Linked DNA regions of Anolis sagrei. The protein of the gene in region 1 purifies or fractionates together with the protein of each later gene. This does not show direct contact. Links are inferred from orthologs where the notes say so. Each region holds a gene or a part of one and is shown on either strand. Other genes may lie near its edges.

The links.
Region 2: the proteins of EN1 (region 1) and transducin-like enhancer protein 1 purify together in Homo sapiens (affinity purification with western blotting; 4 studies listed by BioGRID and IntAct, with this or other methods). This does not show direct contact. The link is inferred for Anolis sagrei from reciprocal best matches to the Homo sapiens genes EN1 and TLE1.

Annotation. Positions count from the first base shown.
Region 1 is NC_090021.1:218,099,200-218,106,316, reverse strand, and holds the start of EN1 (homeobox protein engrailed-1), read left to right. Parts: upstream 1-4,109; 5' UTR 4,110-4,858; coding exon 4,859-5,741; intron 5,742-7,117. UniProt on the Homo sapiens protein: Required for proper formation of the apical ectodermal ridge and correct dorsal-ventral patterning in the limb.
Region 2 is NC_090022.1:227,808,708-227,816,391, reverse strand, and holds the start of transducin-like enhancer protein 1, read left to right. Parts: upstream 1-4,673; 5' UTR 4,674-5,373; coding exon 5,374-5,445; intron 5,446-7,684. UniProt on the Homo sapiens protein: Transcriptional corepressor that binds to a number of transcription factors. Inhibits NF-kappa-B-regulated gene expression. Inhibits the transcriptional activation mediated by FOXA2, and by CTNNB1 and TCF family members in Wnt signaling.

The DNA.
Region 1 (7,117 bases):
GAAACTCGGGCTGAGAGCCCCTCCACACAGCCATATAACCCAGAATATTAAGGCAGAAAATCCCACAGTACTGTCATAGATCCCAGTTTAAAAGAGATCATGTGAGATTTTATGCAGCTGTGTGGAAGGGGCCTGGGTGAACTAAAATACAAATAAAACCCAGTTTGGGGTTTTATTTGTATTTTATTTGTATTTTTAGAGAAGAGGAATTAAATGAGAAGAATGTAAGCACGGTCAGATGTTGAACACTCAGGGCCCTTCCACGCTATCCTCTATCCCAGAATATCAGGGCAGAAAATCCCACATTATCTGAGTGTGGACTCAGATATCCAAGTTCAAAGCAGATATTGTGGGATTTTCTGCCTTGATATTCTGGGATATAGGACTGTATGGAAGGGCCCTCAGATATATGCCTACTTAAAATGAAACAGACATGGTTTTGCAGTGGTTTTGAATGTGAACTAAAATATAACTAAACCCCAGTTTTAGGATCTAAGTGGGAGGGTACTAAACTAGAGGAGTTTGGACATTGGGTGCGTGAATCTGGGCCCTTCCATATAACCACATAACTCAGAATATCAGAGAAGAAAATCCCACAATATCTGCTTTGCACTGAGGTCTCTGAGTCCACACTGCCATATATTTCAGTTCCAAGCAGGTAATGTGGGATTTTATTCAGCTGTGTTGAAGGAGCCTGAGATATAATGTACATATATCGGTTTGATAGTTATTTTTGAAACTGGTCCCTTCGCAGCTATTCCTGAAATAAGTCTACTAAGACTTTTTTAATGTGCGAAGGAAACCTTTCTTGGGATCCCAAGGGGCCCTTCCACACAGCCCTATATCCCAGCATATCAAGGCAGAAAAACCCACATTACCTGAGTGTGGACTCAGATAACACAGTTCAAAGCAGCTATTGTGGACTTTTCTGCCTTGATATTCTGGGTGCCTTTCCACACAGCCTTCTATCTCAGAATATCAAGGCAGAAAAACCCACAATATCTGCTTTGAACTGGGTTTTCTGAGTCCACATTCAGAAAATGTGGTATTTTCTACCTTGATATTCTGGGATATAGGGCTATGTGGAAGGGCCCAAGAAAAAATGTCTAAAAATGTTGGCAATTCCTCCGTCTTTCTTTGTTTCCTTCTTTATCCCGCCTTCAATAGCAGAACAGGCGCAAGAAGCACAAAATGGAAAGGGCCCGAATTGTCAATTACAAATCAATTTCTAAACTAGGAAGGAAGGGGGGGGGGCTATTAAGCCGGTCACGTGGTGCAGAGGTTTTCCTCTCCCCCTCCTCTTCCTCTTCCACCAGGCAAACAGCTTCGGAGGGGCTTTCCTCTTCCACCCACGAGTGTTTATGGACCCCTGCAACCGGCGTGGAGGCCTTGGGAAAGGAGCCACTCAGGCTCATAAATCGCCACCCCGGCGCTTCGGCGAAGAGTGTGACGCCTGTGAAAACAGAAAGAAAGGAAAAACCACCCCATCCATCCTCGCAGAGAGTGGAGCATGTCTGCCATAAATGTGGACGAAACGTCAGAAGAGAATGCTTCTGGAACATGGCCGTACAGTCTGGAAAACTCACAAGCAACCCAGTTGCGATCTTCCTGAACGGTGTGATGTTCGCCGTGGCCTTTGCAAACAGTGCACGGTGAGCCTTTCAAAAAGGAAGAATATCCTCCAGGTTCCAAGAAATAGCCTCTTTGGAACATAAACAGAAGGGGAAAAAGAAAGACAAAATACCCGTCTTGGAGGCGATCCGTACAAAAAAAAGAGTATTTTTTGCAGAAGGAACCGTTTCCGCCGCCTTGGAAGACAAAAAAGAAGAGGGAAAAGAGAGAAGAAGAGCGGTACCAGCCTTCAAGGTGAATGCCTTGTTGCAGAACTCTGCGCCGCCAAGAAACAACAGCAGATCTAGCTTGTTTTAGAATCTGAATAAACTCACTCTAGGATGGTCCGGATTGGTGTGATTATTAGTTTTGATTCTGGGTTTGCGGGGTTTTGGAGGGCGAGAGGTTTGGGTGCTAGTCGCTCAGCGTCGCCTAAAGTCCTCAGTTCATCCTCGTTGGGTTTGGTGACCGAGGTTTGGGGGAGAATGTTATTAAATAGGTCCTTCCCCTGCAAAGGATTCGCGGGCTCCTTCCAAGCTCACCTGTTCAGGTATTAAATCGAATGGAAGAGAAGGGCTGCCGCTCTTGGAAAGAGCCGAGGCTTGGTATTCACCCCAGGCGTTGCAGAGGGAGCACGACAAAACGAAACGGGCTCCATGCCGATTGTTTTCAATGGCAGGCAAGGAAACGACAAGAACCTTTCACACTAGAGAATGAATCCACTTTAAATCTGGTTTCTGCTTCCTGCAGAATTCTGAGGTTTGTAGTTCAGGGAAGTAGATTTTAACAGCCTCACTAAGCTACAAACCCCAGAATTCTGCAGGAAGCAGAAACCGGGTTTTGAGTGGATTCATTCTCTAGTGTGCTGAGCGAAGAACCCAGTGAACGACTCAGTGGTCAAGGCTGTGTTGGCGAACTGTCAGCTCAGAGGAACCCAGGCAATTCTTGCGATGTGCCCTGAAGTCCGTTCTAACTTATGGCGGTCCTCTCGTAGGTTTTGCTCTGGCGAGATGTGTTCAGGCCTTCCTCTGAGGCCGAGAGAGTGTGACTTGCCCAGTGGGTTTCCATAGTCGAGGGGGATTCAAACCTTGGCCGCCAGAGCTGCAATGTAAAGCTCAAAACACTGCCCAATGCTCTCGGATACATTTCCTCGTTTGAAAACCAGTCGAACTGGGAAATTCGGGCTTTTAGTGAGTGCATAGACTTGTCACAAGCCAGCTTGAGATCTCTTTTTGCCCATACTCCTCCATACCTTTCTTCCTCTGGTTTCAAAGGGGCTTCCTCTAAGGTCCACATATGCCTAGGTATATAATGTAGTCTTTGGGCTTTGAGCAACCATTAAACTCACAAAGGAATGTCACGCATTGGGTCTAGAAAGAGCTCACCGCTGGTTTAACAACAACAACAACAACAACAACAACAACAACAACTTTATTTACAACCGGCCCTATCTCCCCAAAGATATATCTTTCTTCAAATATAGACACTTTAGAATAATAATAATAATAATAATAATAATAATAATTTATAACCCTCCCTATCTCCCCAAGGATATATTTTTCTTCAAATATGGAAACTTAACAACAACAACAATACTTTATTTATAATTCTCCCAATCTCCCCAAGGATATGTTTTGCTTCATATATAGAAACTTAATAATAATAATAATAATAATAATAATAATAATAATTTATTTATAACTCTCCCTACCTCCCCAAGGATAGATTTTTCTTCAAATATGGAAACTTAATGATAATAGTACTTTATTTATAACCCTCCCTATCTCCCCAATAATATGTTTTGCTTCACATAAAGACACTTAATAATAATAATAATAATAATAGAAGAAATAATAATATTTTATTTATAACCCTCCCTGTCTCCCCAAGAATATGTTTTGCTTCACATAAAGGCACATAATAATAATAATAATAATAATAATAATAATTTATTTATAAACCGCCCTATATCCCCAAGGATATATTTTTCCTTAAGTATAAAAACTTTAGTTGTAGCATTTTGCAATGAATGAGGAGGAGGAGGAGGGGAAAGAGGAAGGCTTCTATTAGATGTGATTATTATTATTATTATTATTATTATGCACAGAAGTCACACAAGCATACATACAAGTTCTCTCTCGGAGTTTGGAAAAGTTCTTTATGGCGTTGATTGGACATATTTTTATTTTCCTTGATTGGGGAAGAAGAGCTTCAAATGCAAAGATCTTCCCTCGGCAAGAAGGCAAAGGCGAGAGAGAGAGAGAGAGAGAGTGTGTGTTGAGCAAAGGATGCGCCAAAGGGAGAGTATTAGAAACCTCTCCTTCTCTTTCTCTCGGAATTAGCCAAACCCCTCGGCTAATCTATCTGCAAAGTTCCGAGGCAGCTTATTGGCTGACGTCAGGGGCGTCACAGAATTCCCCTGCTCCTGATTGGCCCTTTCCACGTGCGGGCCATCCTCACGTGCTTCCGGTTGGAAAGGAAAAAAAGTGTGGCTGAGCGATTTTTTTAGGGAGAGTTTGTGGCAAGATCGGAGCTGTCAGAGATTTTTTTTTTGGCGCGCGGGGGGGGTTTGCCTTTATTTATATATATAATATAAATATATATTAAGGCGAAGCGCAGAAGGAAGGAAAGATTGAAGGCGGGGTGTAGATTCAGGGGCTGAGGAAGGAGAGAAGGTAGAAGAGGAAGGGAGGAGGAAAAACAAGAAGGATTAAAAATACGGAATGCACGTGCGATCCGGCGATTAAATCCTCCTCCTCCTCCTCCGCGGGCAAAGCCGAGCCTGACACTTGGGGGAAAGCCCCGCCAGAGGATGGGTCGATGGTGAGGAAGACTTTGGGGGAGGGGGCGGGGTTTTGAGGGGTGCTGGTGGTCTTTGCTTCCCCTCTTTTAGCCCCCCTCCCTTTTTTGGGGAGAAAGGGGGAGCCCAGAGAGAGAGAGCGAGAGAGAGAGAGAAATATAACTGCAAAAAAAGGGGGCGAATCGCTCCAAATGGATCTCTCTCTCTAGACCCCCTGCTCCGAGCCAACAAGTGGATTTGGTTTTGCCTTGGACACTCGGGCGGTGCTTTTGTTTTTGTTTTCCCTGAAGAAGAAGCTTACAATTGAATTGGAAGCAAGGGGAAGAAGAAATCAGCACCACTGCCGTCCGGAGAAGGAGGGAAGAAAACAGAAACACAGAGAGAGAGAGAAAGAGAGAGAGAGACAGAGCCAAGCCTGGCGCTTTCCGGCGGAGGTGGCGGCTGACTATGGAAGAGCAGGCGGACCCTAAAAGCCAGCGAGAGCCTGCTCCCACCACCACCACTACCACCAGCAGCGCCACCAGCAACACCAGTACCGCCGGCAGCACCAGCAGCAGCGATGGGGAAAGCCTCCCGGTCTCTCCCAGCAGCACGGGAAGCGGCCACCCGCCCTTGTCTCCCGCCGCCGCGCCCTGCCTCGTCTCGGTGGCCCATCATCATCCCCACCACCATCACCACCACCACCAGCACCACCAGCATGCCCTCCAAGCGCAACAACGTCCGCCGCCGCCGCCTCCTCCTCCTCCGCCACAACGCACCACCAACTTCTTCATCGACAACATCCTGAGGCCGGACTTTGGCTGCAAGAAGGAGCAGCAGCAGCAGCTCTTGATCCTCTCTGGAGGAGGAGGAGGAGGAGGAAGTGGAGGAGGAGGAGGAGGAGGCCGGGAGAGAGACCTAGACCGCGCGGGCAGCTCAGGTAGAGAAAACGTCAACCCACTGCTGGGGGGCAGGACCCCCAACCCGGCCTCCTCCTCTTCCTCCTCCTCCTCCTCCTCGGTGCTCCTTAGCACGGAGTCAGAGACGGGCCCCTCAGCCATCGGCTCCACCGCCGCCTCCAAAGCCAGCCCCACCGCCAAGCCCCCTTCCTCCTCCTCCTCCTCTTCCTCCTCCTCTTCCTCCTCCTCCTCCTCTTCCTCCTCCTCCTCCTGCTGCTCGGAAGGCAGCGGACCTCACCCGGCGAACTATGGGGAGCACGCCAACCCGGCCATCCTGCTCATGGGCTCCAGTAATGGAGGGTCCGCCGTGGGGGCCAAGGGCGACGGGAAGCAGCCGCTGGTTTGGCCGGCCTGGGTTTACTGCACGAGGTATTCAGACCGACCGTCCTCCGGTAAGAATCCCTCCTCGGAGAAAACCCGCCTCGCCCCTCGCCTCCCCCTTCCCTTCCTTGCCCTGCTCGCTTCGCCCCTTCGCCTCCAGCCCCCATGGAGAAACCGAGCCAGGCCTCCCCCTTCCCGGCGCCCTGCTTGCTTGGCCCTTCCCGCTCCCTCCCTGTCTTTGAGTCCTGTCCTTGTCACCGGTGGGGGGCGGGGGTACAAGTTCCTTTTGCCCCCGAGGAGACCTGTGGGGTGTTGATTTGAAAAGGGGGAGCCCCAAAGAAGAAACAACAAGGCCACTCCGCCATCTGCCCATCCTGCTTCTTCCCTGGATTAGAGAGTGTCCAAGGGCACTTCCACGCAGCCCTATCTCCCAGAATATCGAGGCAGAAAAATCCCACAATATCTGCTTTGAACTGGGTTATCTGATGGGAATTCCTGCCTTGTTATTCTGGGATATAGGGCTGTGTGGAAGGCCCCAAAGTCCAAACTCAGATAATGTGGGATTTTCTGCCTTGTTATTCTAGGATATAGGATCAGTTTTGCCCTTTTCAACCTGTTTTATTTCCTCCCAAGTTTATCACGATGGCCCGGGTCTCAGGGCTCGGTTGAGAGGTAGCGTCCACACGCCCTTGTTATGCATTTATTCTTCTTTTAAGAAGGATCTGTATCATAGAAGAGACCCATGGGATGCAAAAAGGATGCAAAAGGGATGCAAAAGGGAAGACCGTCTTCTAGACAAAGCTGTGCTTACTAGGGCCCCGTTTAGACTAACCATTGAGTGCCATTCGTAGCTATTTTCAAACTCCCACCAAAAAGAGGAATGAACACAAGAAAGCCCATACGCATCACTGCTTTGCAGTTTGTGCCGTCACTTTCGGGGCCTCACACTCGATCCAGGATTTCCTAAGCATTTTCCAGAATACTGGTTGGAAAAAAAGCATCAAATGACTTTAGAGGCCAATGCTTTCCCCGCCATTGTAGAATTTTTTTTAAAGGCTTTAAATTGAAATTTTAAAATAGATGTGTTGTCGAACGCTTTCATGGCAAGAGTCCCTAGGTTGCTGTGAGTTTTCCGAGCTGTATGGCCATGTTCCAGAAGCATTCTCTTCTGACGTTTCGCCCACATCTATGGCAGGCATCCTCAGAGGTTGTGAGGTCTTTTGGAAACTCGACAACAAACTCTAACCACAACAAAGACGACAATGTAGTGGGTGCATAGAGACCTCACAACCTCTGAGGATGCCTGCTATAGATGTAGGCGAAACGTCAGGAGAGAATGCCATTACAACCCGGAAAACTCACAGCAACCCAGTTAAAATAGATGGCTTGAGAAGGCCCAACGGGGAAACGCTCCATGCAAAGATCTGCTCGGGAGACGGAGACCAAA
Region 2 (7,684 bases), on another chromosome or scaffold:
AGGGAGATGAGCACCACCCCCCAGAGTCTGACAGGACTAGACTTAATGTCAAGGAGAAACCTTTATTTTTACCCATGGTGCCCTTTTACTATGAAATGATTCTTCTGGATGTCTCCTCAGGTTGTTTTCTACACTGTTTTTACAATCTCTTCTGAAGCCCTAATGAAGTGCAGGGACAGGAATGTGGTGGCTTGATGGCACCATAGCAAATCTTCTCTGAAAGGGGAGGACAGGATTCCAATAATGATTGGAGTGCAAGTCCCAGCATTCCCATTGCAGGCAAAGGACAATGGGAGCTCTGGAGTCATTCCTGCCCTGGCCTATCTACACTGTATAATTAGTGCAGTTTAACAGCCATGGCTTTGTATTATGGAATCTTGGGATATGTAGTTTGGTGAGGTACCAGCACTTGTTGGCAGAGAAGGCTAAATGCCTGTAAAACTACAGCTCTCATGATTTCACAGCACCGAGCCATGGCAGTTAACATGGTGTTAAACTGCATTCATTCTATCTCAAAATGCATTCATTCTACAGTATAGACGCACCCTAAGACTTTGTTTACCTTTGCAAGTTCTTCAAGGGGTGGGAGGATCAACACAGCGCCTGGACAGGGAAGCTTACAAAGGATGAGTCAGTCTGCACTGAGATTTAATTTTAATCCCTTAAAAGATAGTCCTTTAAAAGATAATCCCTTTTAAAGAAAACAAGGCCATGGACTAGTTAAGAATCTCTGACGAGGTCGTCTGCCTGAATATTCGAGAAATGTAGTTTCTTGTTTCTTCAGAGTTAATAATAATAATAATAATAATTATTTATTTATTCCCTGCCACCATCTCCCAAAAAGGGACTCACGATGGGTTACAAGCACACAATGGTGCCATACAACATATAAAATACAATATAGCAAAATTAAAACCAGCAACACATTTAAAACGAAACATATAAAAATAACAAGATCAATAGAATCAATAAAATATAGCAATGGTCATTAATTAAAAGATCCATACAGCCAATTTAGCCTTCCCTGGTAAAAGATCGTGGTCTGGCTGCAATCTTAAAAATAGGCCTAATACTATACAACTGCTGAAAACTCTATGTTGACGATATTAATATTGAAATATAGCAAAGAAAGAAAGAAAGACAAATACAGTACAGACAAACTGAATGTTAGCACACTTTTACAGTAACATACATACATACATGCATTTTAATGTTTATTTAAAGTGTGATTTCTTCTATTTTTTGTCACTTGCTTAAAAGTTCAGATTGAGAGTACTGGTTAGCTGAGAGTATGCGAGCATTTGTATTATAAATACGAGTGTGTGTGTTTATGTGTACATGTATATATGTGTGTATGGACCCCCTGGTGCCGCAGTGGGTTAAACCACTGAGCTGCTGAACTTGCTGACCAGAAGGTTGGCTGTTTGAATTTGGGGAGCAGGGTGAGCTCTCGCTGTTAGGCCCGGCTTCTGCCAACCTGATTTCTTCTCTTTCCCTTAGATCCATACGAACTCTTAAAAGACTCCAGCAGCTGCAGTGATCCTTAGATCTGTGAACACTTTCAATCAGTCCTTTGTTTAATAGCAAACAATTGCTCATGTAGCTATTTAAAAGTTATTATTATGCAGAATATTTAGCTATTACTGAAATAAGCATGATCTCTGAATTATGACCTTCTATTCTGTATGAAGGGGCTATGGTGGTGCAGCAGGTTAAACTGCTAAGCTGCAGAACTTGCTGACCAAAAAGTCAGTGGTTCAAATTCAGGACGGGATGAGCTCCCGCTATTAGGCCCAGCTTCTGCCAACCTAGCAGTTCTAAAACATCCAAATGTGAGTAGATCAATAGGTACCACTTCAGCAGGAAGGTAATGGTGCTCCATGCAGTCATGCTAGCCACATGACCTTGGAGGTGTCTACAGACAACTCTGGCTCTCCGGATTAGAAATGGAGATGCGCACCACTCCAAAGGGTAAAGGGGAAACCTTTACTCTCTCTCTCTCTCTACACACACACACACACACACACACATATACACATATACACATACACACTCCTACCTGGATAGTTTGAATCATGTGTTGTGTTCATTGTATTTTAATCTCTGCTCTGTGTATTTTTAATATTGGCATTTTGCAGAAATACATTTTAATATGTGTATTTTATATAATGTTTGTGATGATTATGTGTTTTTAGCTATGTTGTAGCCCACCTTGAGCCACGAGGAGAGGTGGATAAGTAATAAAATGGTGATGATAATGATTATTATAATTATATGGGATGTTAGGTTAGATCAGACATAGGCAAACTTCAACCCTCCACATGTTTTGGACCTGCTGTTAGGAATTGTGGGAGTCAAAGTCCAAAACACCTGGAGGGCTGAAGTTTGCCCATGCCTGGTGTATATGTATGTACAGTAGAGTACATTATTATAGTATCATTATTACAAGATTAAAGTGGTGGTCAGTAGCCAGTCCTAGTTCACAACACATTGGTTGCCAGTCTGTGGCAAAGGACTAGAGAAAAAGAAACCCAAAATGCAACAACAATAATACAGTAGCAACCTGTACTACCTTTTCATGAAGGATTAGTTGAATCAGCCCTGGAAGACCCAAAAGAATATATTTCCAACAAGATACCCTCAAGCAAAGCAGCACATACAGTAGAGTCTTGCTTATCCCACGTAAATGGACCAGCTGAACGCTGGATAAGCGAAAACGTTGGATAATAAGGAGGGATTAAGGAAATGCCTATTAAACATCAAATTACATCAAGATTTTACAATTTAAGCACCAAAACATCATGTTTTGCAACAAATGGACAGAAAAGGCAGTTCAATATATGGTAATATTATGGAGTAATGGCTGTATTTATAAATTTAGCACCAAAACATTGCAATGTTTTGAAACAGCGGTGGATCCGGGTGGGAGGCAGACTGCGTTTTATTTATTTATTTCCTATATTTATACCCCACCCTATATTTATATCCCCCCGAAGGGATAATACAGAACGTTGGATGAGCGAAGGTTGGATAAGCGAGACTCTACTGCAACTGTTCTCAAATGAGCTTGTTCAATTATCAGGAATTCTGGGAGTTGAAGGCTCAAACAGTTGGAGGGCCGCAGTTTTTAGGAGGAGCCTCCCCAGAATAATGATCCCATTGCACTTTGTCCGCCAAAGCACTTAATATTTTTTAGGTCTGCTTGTATGTTTTCCACAAACGCCCCATCACTTTTTGCGCCCATATTCCAGCATTATTTTCAATTTTAATTTTACATTTGGCCTTCCCATCGTTTTTAATCGTGTGGTCTTATTGTTAATGTTGCATTATTGTATTGTCCATGTTTTTTATTTTAATTGCTTGTATTGTTGTTATTATTGCTTGTATTGTTGTATTTGGGCTTGGCCTCATGTAAGCCGCACCGAGTCCCTTGGGGAGATGGTAGTGGGGTACAAATAAAGTGTTATTATTATTATTAGTTTGAGGATGCCTGCTCCCAGGCATGTGGGGGGGGGGGGGGGGGCCTCAGGGGGCTTCAGCCCCCCCCCCCCCCCGGAAATTCTCATGGTGGTTCGCAAAAAGGCCTTACTGGTGCATTATTTAAACTGTTATGTTTATTGATATCATGATCTGATCACCATACTCAATATATCCCATATGCATGGGGGTACTGAAGTAACGATACAAAAGGTTTGCTAGGGTAGACCCTCTTTCACTCAGACTCAGCCTGAAAAAAATTCAGCCCCCCCCCCCCCCCCACGAAATCCTGGCTACGGGCCTGCCTGCTCCACTATATATATATATATATATATATATATATATATATATATATAATGAAAGTATATATAAATGTATAGGTAAAGGTATTCCCCTGACATTAAGTCCAGTCATGTCCGACTCTGGGATGCGCTGCTCATCTCCATTTCTAAGCCGAAGAGCCTGCGTTGTCCATAGACACCTCCAAGGACATGTGGCCAGCATGACTGCTTGGACCGCCGTTATAAATATAAATGTGTTCACAGAGAGAGATATATATGTAAACGGGGCCTCATTCCTCTTGGTGGCCCTCTGGTTCCTTCTGACAAACGGAAGGGGAATCTCTTCTGCCTCCTTTCGTCCTTCCATCCGCTTAAACAGGGCAGCCTCCACCTGGCTCCTCCAGCCCTTGCCTGTCCTGGACCAGGGATGCATTATTTATCTCCCTGTGTTATTTCCACAGATTTCGAGAGAGAGAGAGAGAGAGGGAGCCGGGCAAGGTAAAGGAATAATAATAATAAAAGAGAAAGCGGGGCGGAGGTGGAGGGGAGGAGGAGGAGAGCCCCATATAGTCATCTCTTTCTCTCTCCTTCTCCTTCTTTCTCTCTCACTGCCCCACGTTACTTTGATTGACACCTCCGCCTCGCCACTCTCCTTCTCCCCGACCTTCCCCTGTCTGAGCGTTCCACCGCCTCCCATTGGCTCGCTCGGAGGGGTCCTGCCGCTCAGCCTCGCTCAGCCTCGAAAGCCTTCCTCGGAAAAGGAGGAGGGGCGGGGACAGAGTCGGGGCGAAGGGGGCGGCGTTGAGTTGCCAAAGCGGCCCTCTCATTGGTGTCCCGTCACAGCCCCACGTTGGTACCCGAGCACCCCATTGGCTGCGATCCGCTTTCGGGGCGGGGCCGAGGAGCCTGGTTAGCTCGAGGAGTGTGAAACCGCGTGTTAATGTAACCAGCGCGGGCGGAGGAGACGTTGGGTGCCGTTTATTGAGTTGCGTTGTCCCGCGGAGTTCTTGCTCTCCCTCCCTCCCTCCCCTCCCCCCTTTTGTCCTTTTCTATTATTTCGGATCTATTTCGTATCTGATTCCCTTGCTTTGGATGTGTGTTTCCGAGGGAACGAACTTGAGGGAAAGAAGAAGAAGGAGACGAGAGAGAGGAGCGGCCCGACGGGGATGAGGCGGCTTCTGCTCCTGCTGCTGCTGCGGCGCCTTTCTCTCCTCGCTTTGGGATAATAACCCCAGTGTGGCCTCGGCCTTGCCTTGGACGGCGCGGGGCTTTTGTTTGGTGGTTTGGAGCCGTGTTGGGAGATCCTCCATATTTGATTCCTTCGGGGAAAGAAAGAAAACAAAACAGCCTCGCTTTTCGTCCCGTTTCCTGGCTTGTTAAGTTGGAGCCGAAGGCAAGGCAAGAGAGAAGGAAAGAAGGAAGGAAGGCCGCGTCTCGCTCTCTCCGGGTTCGAAGCCCGCTCTGGGCCTCTTTTCCCCTCTTGAAGGAAGGAAGGAAGGAACAAAGGCGCCGGGAGGATGCGGAGCCGCAGAGGCTGAGCGCCAGGGCTTCGCTTCGGGCCTGAAAACTTCGGAAGGAGGAGGAGGACTTGGGGAGCTGCCTTTCCCCCACAGCCATGTTCCCCCAAAGCCGGCACCCCGTAAGTGGCCCCCGCTCTCCCCACCAACACGCGTGTCTTCTCTATAATGTAACGTATATCCTAACTACCCTTTACCTCTGGGATGGTGATGGTGGTGACTGATCATAATATTATTGTGCGGGCAATGCTTCCCGTAGAAATGGATAAGCGCGCATGAACCTTGGAAACTTCAATCCCTTTGAAACATTATGGGTCCTCCCTCCAGGGAGTTTTGGACTCGGCCGAGGGGGAAAAGGAAGGGGCCTGAGGCTGTTAGGAATGGTGGGAGTTGGAGTCAAAAACTCCTGGAGGGAGGGCCCAAGTTGGACCATGCCTGGTGTAGATGTGCCCCGAGAAAACTACAACTCCCGGGATCCCAAGCTGCATTCACAGTGTAGAATGATTCACCCATTGGGATACTAAAATATCCCTCAACTAGTGTGTGTGTGTGTGTATCACCCATTGGGATACTAAAATACCCCCAAACTAGTGTGAGATATATATATATATATATATATATATATATATATATATATATATTATATGTATATATATGTATGTATGTGTATATGTATATATGTATAGTATGTGTGTGTATCACCCATTGGGATACTAAAATACCCCCCAAAGTAGTGTGCATATATATATTACCCAAACTAGTGTGTGTGATATATATATAGTATAAATATCAGGCATGGACAGCATTCATAGAATCATAGAGTTGGAAGAGACCTCATGGGCCATCCAGTCCAACCCCGTGCCTAGAAGCAGGAATATTGCATTCAAAGCACCCCTGACAGATGGCCATACAGCCTCTACAGTGTGGAATGATTCACCCATTGGGTTACTAAAATGCCCCTCAACTAGTGTGTGTGTATAGTATATATATGGTGTGTGTGTGTATATATATATAAGGCATGGGCTTCATTCACTCTACAGTGTAGAATCAGTCACCCATTGTGATACTAAAATACCCCCAAACTAGTTTGTGTGTGTGCGCGCGTGTGTGTATAGAGAGAGACAGAGAGGGAGTGTACATACATTATCAGTCATGGGCTACATTCACTCTATAGTATAATGACTCACCCATTGGGATACATACTAAAATATCCCCCAAACTAGTGTGTCTCTGCATGTGTACAGATAGAATACACACATAGTATATATATCAGGCATGGGCCAGTTTGGGCCCTTGGTGTGTTTTGGACTTCAACTCCCACAATTCCTAACAGCCTCAGGCCCTTTCCTTTTCCCCCTCAGCCGCTTAAGCAAGTGGGGTTTATCATCTATCTATCTGTCTATTTGTGGAATAATGTCTAGGGTGCTTAAGCGGCTGAGGTGGAGATAAGAAATGGGCCTGAGACTGTTAGGAATGGTGGAAGTTTGAGTCCAAAACCCCTGGAGAGTCCAAGTTGCTCCAAGTTGGCATATGCTATGGCATTATATAGATGTGGTATTGGAGCAGGTCACTCGAATGCTTAATATTTGGTTGGGAATTGTTTGGTGGGGGGATTTTGAAACATTGGACTGCTGAGAGATCTTGGAGGTGGGACCCAAAGCCTGAACATGAAATTAATTGCTGTTCCATACATATGCACTTAGTCTGAAGTTACTTTTCTATGCAGTGTTTTGTATTTTAAAATGGAGGTAATTTTCTATACAATATTTTTTGTGCATGGAACAAAGTTTGGGTATGCCCGAGGCACCCAGAAGCAAAGGTGTCTGTCACTCAAGACACCCGTGGGATGTTTTTGGAGTTTGGAGCATTTCGGATTTTCTAACAAGGGATTCTCAATCTCTATAACATTTACTCTTCCAAATAACAACGACAACAACAAATCTTTATTTATATCCTGTTTTTCTCCCTCACGGGACCCAAAGTGGCTTACAACATATTACAACGTATAAATGCATTTACTTCGCCTTTAAACAAGCACTTTAGTTGCTGTGATGTCGAAGGCTTTCATGGCTGGGATCACTGGGTTGCTGTGGGTTTTCCAGGCTGTAGGTCCATGTTTCCGGAAGCATTCTTTCCTGACTATTCCAAGGCTATTCAGTGCTAATCAAGGTGGCCAATTGCAACATGCACACTTGCCTCCATAAGATGAGAGTTCTTTTCTCCCACCCTGGACATTACTCCACAGATATATAAACCCCACTTGCCTTGTTTCCAACAAAGCTCACAACAAGCTCACAACCTCTGAGGATGCCTGCCATAGATGCAGGCAAAACGTCAGGAGAGAATGCTTCTGGAACATGGCCATGCAGCCCGGAAAACTCACAGCAACCCACTGTAGCTGCTGTTCCA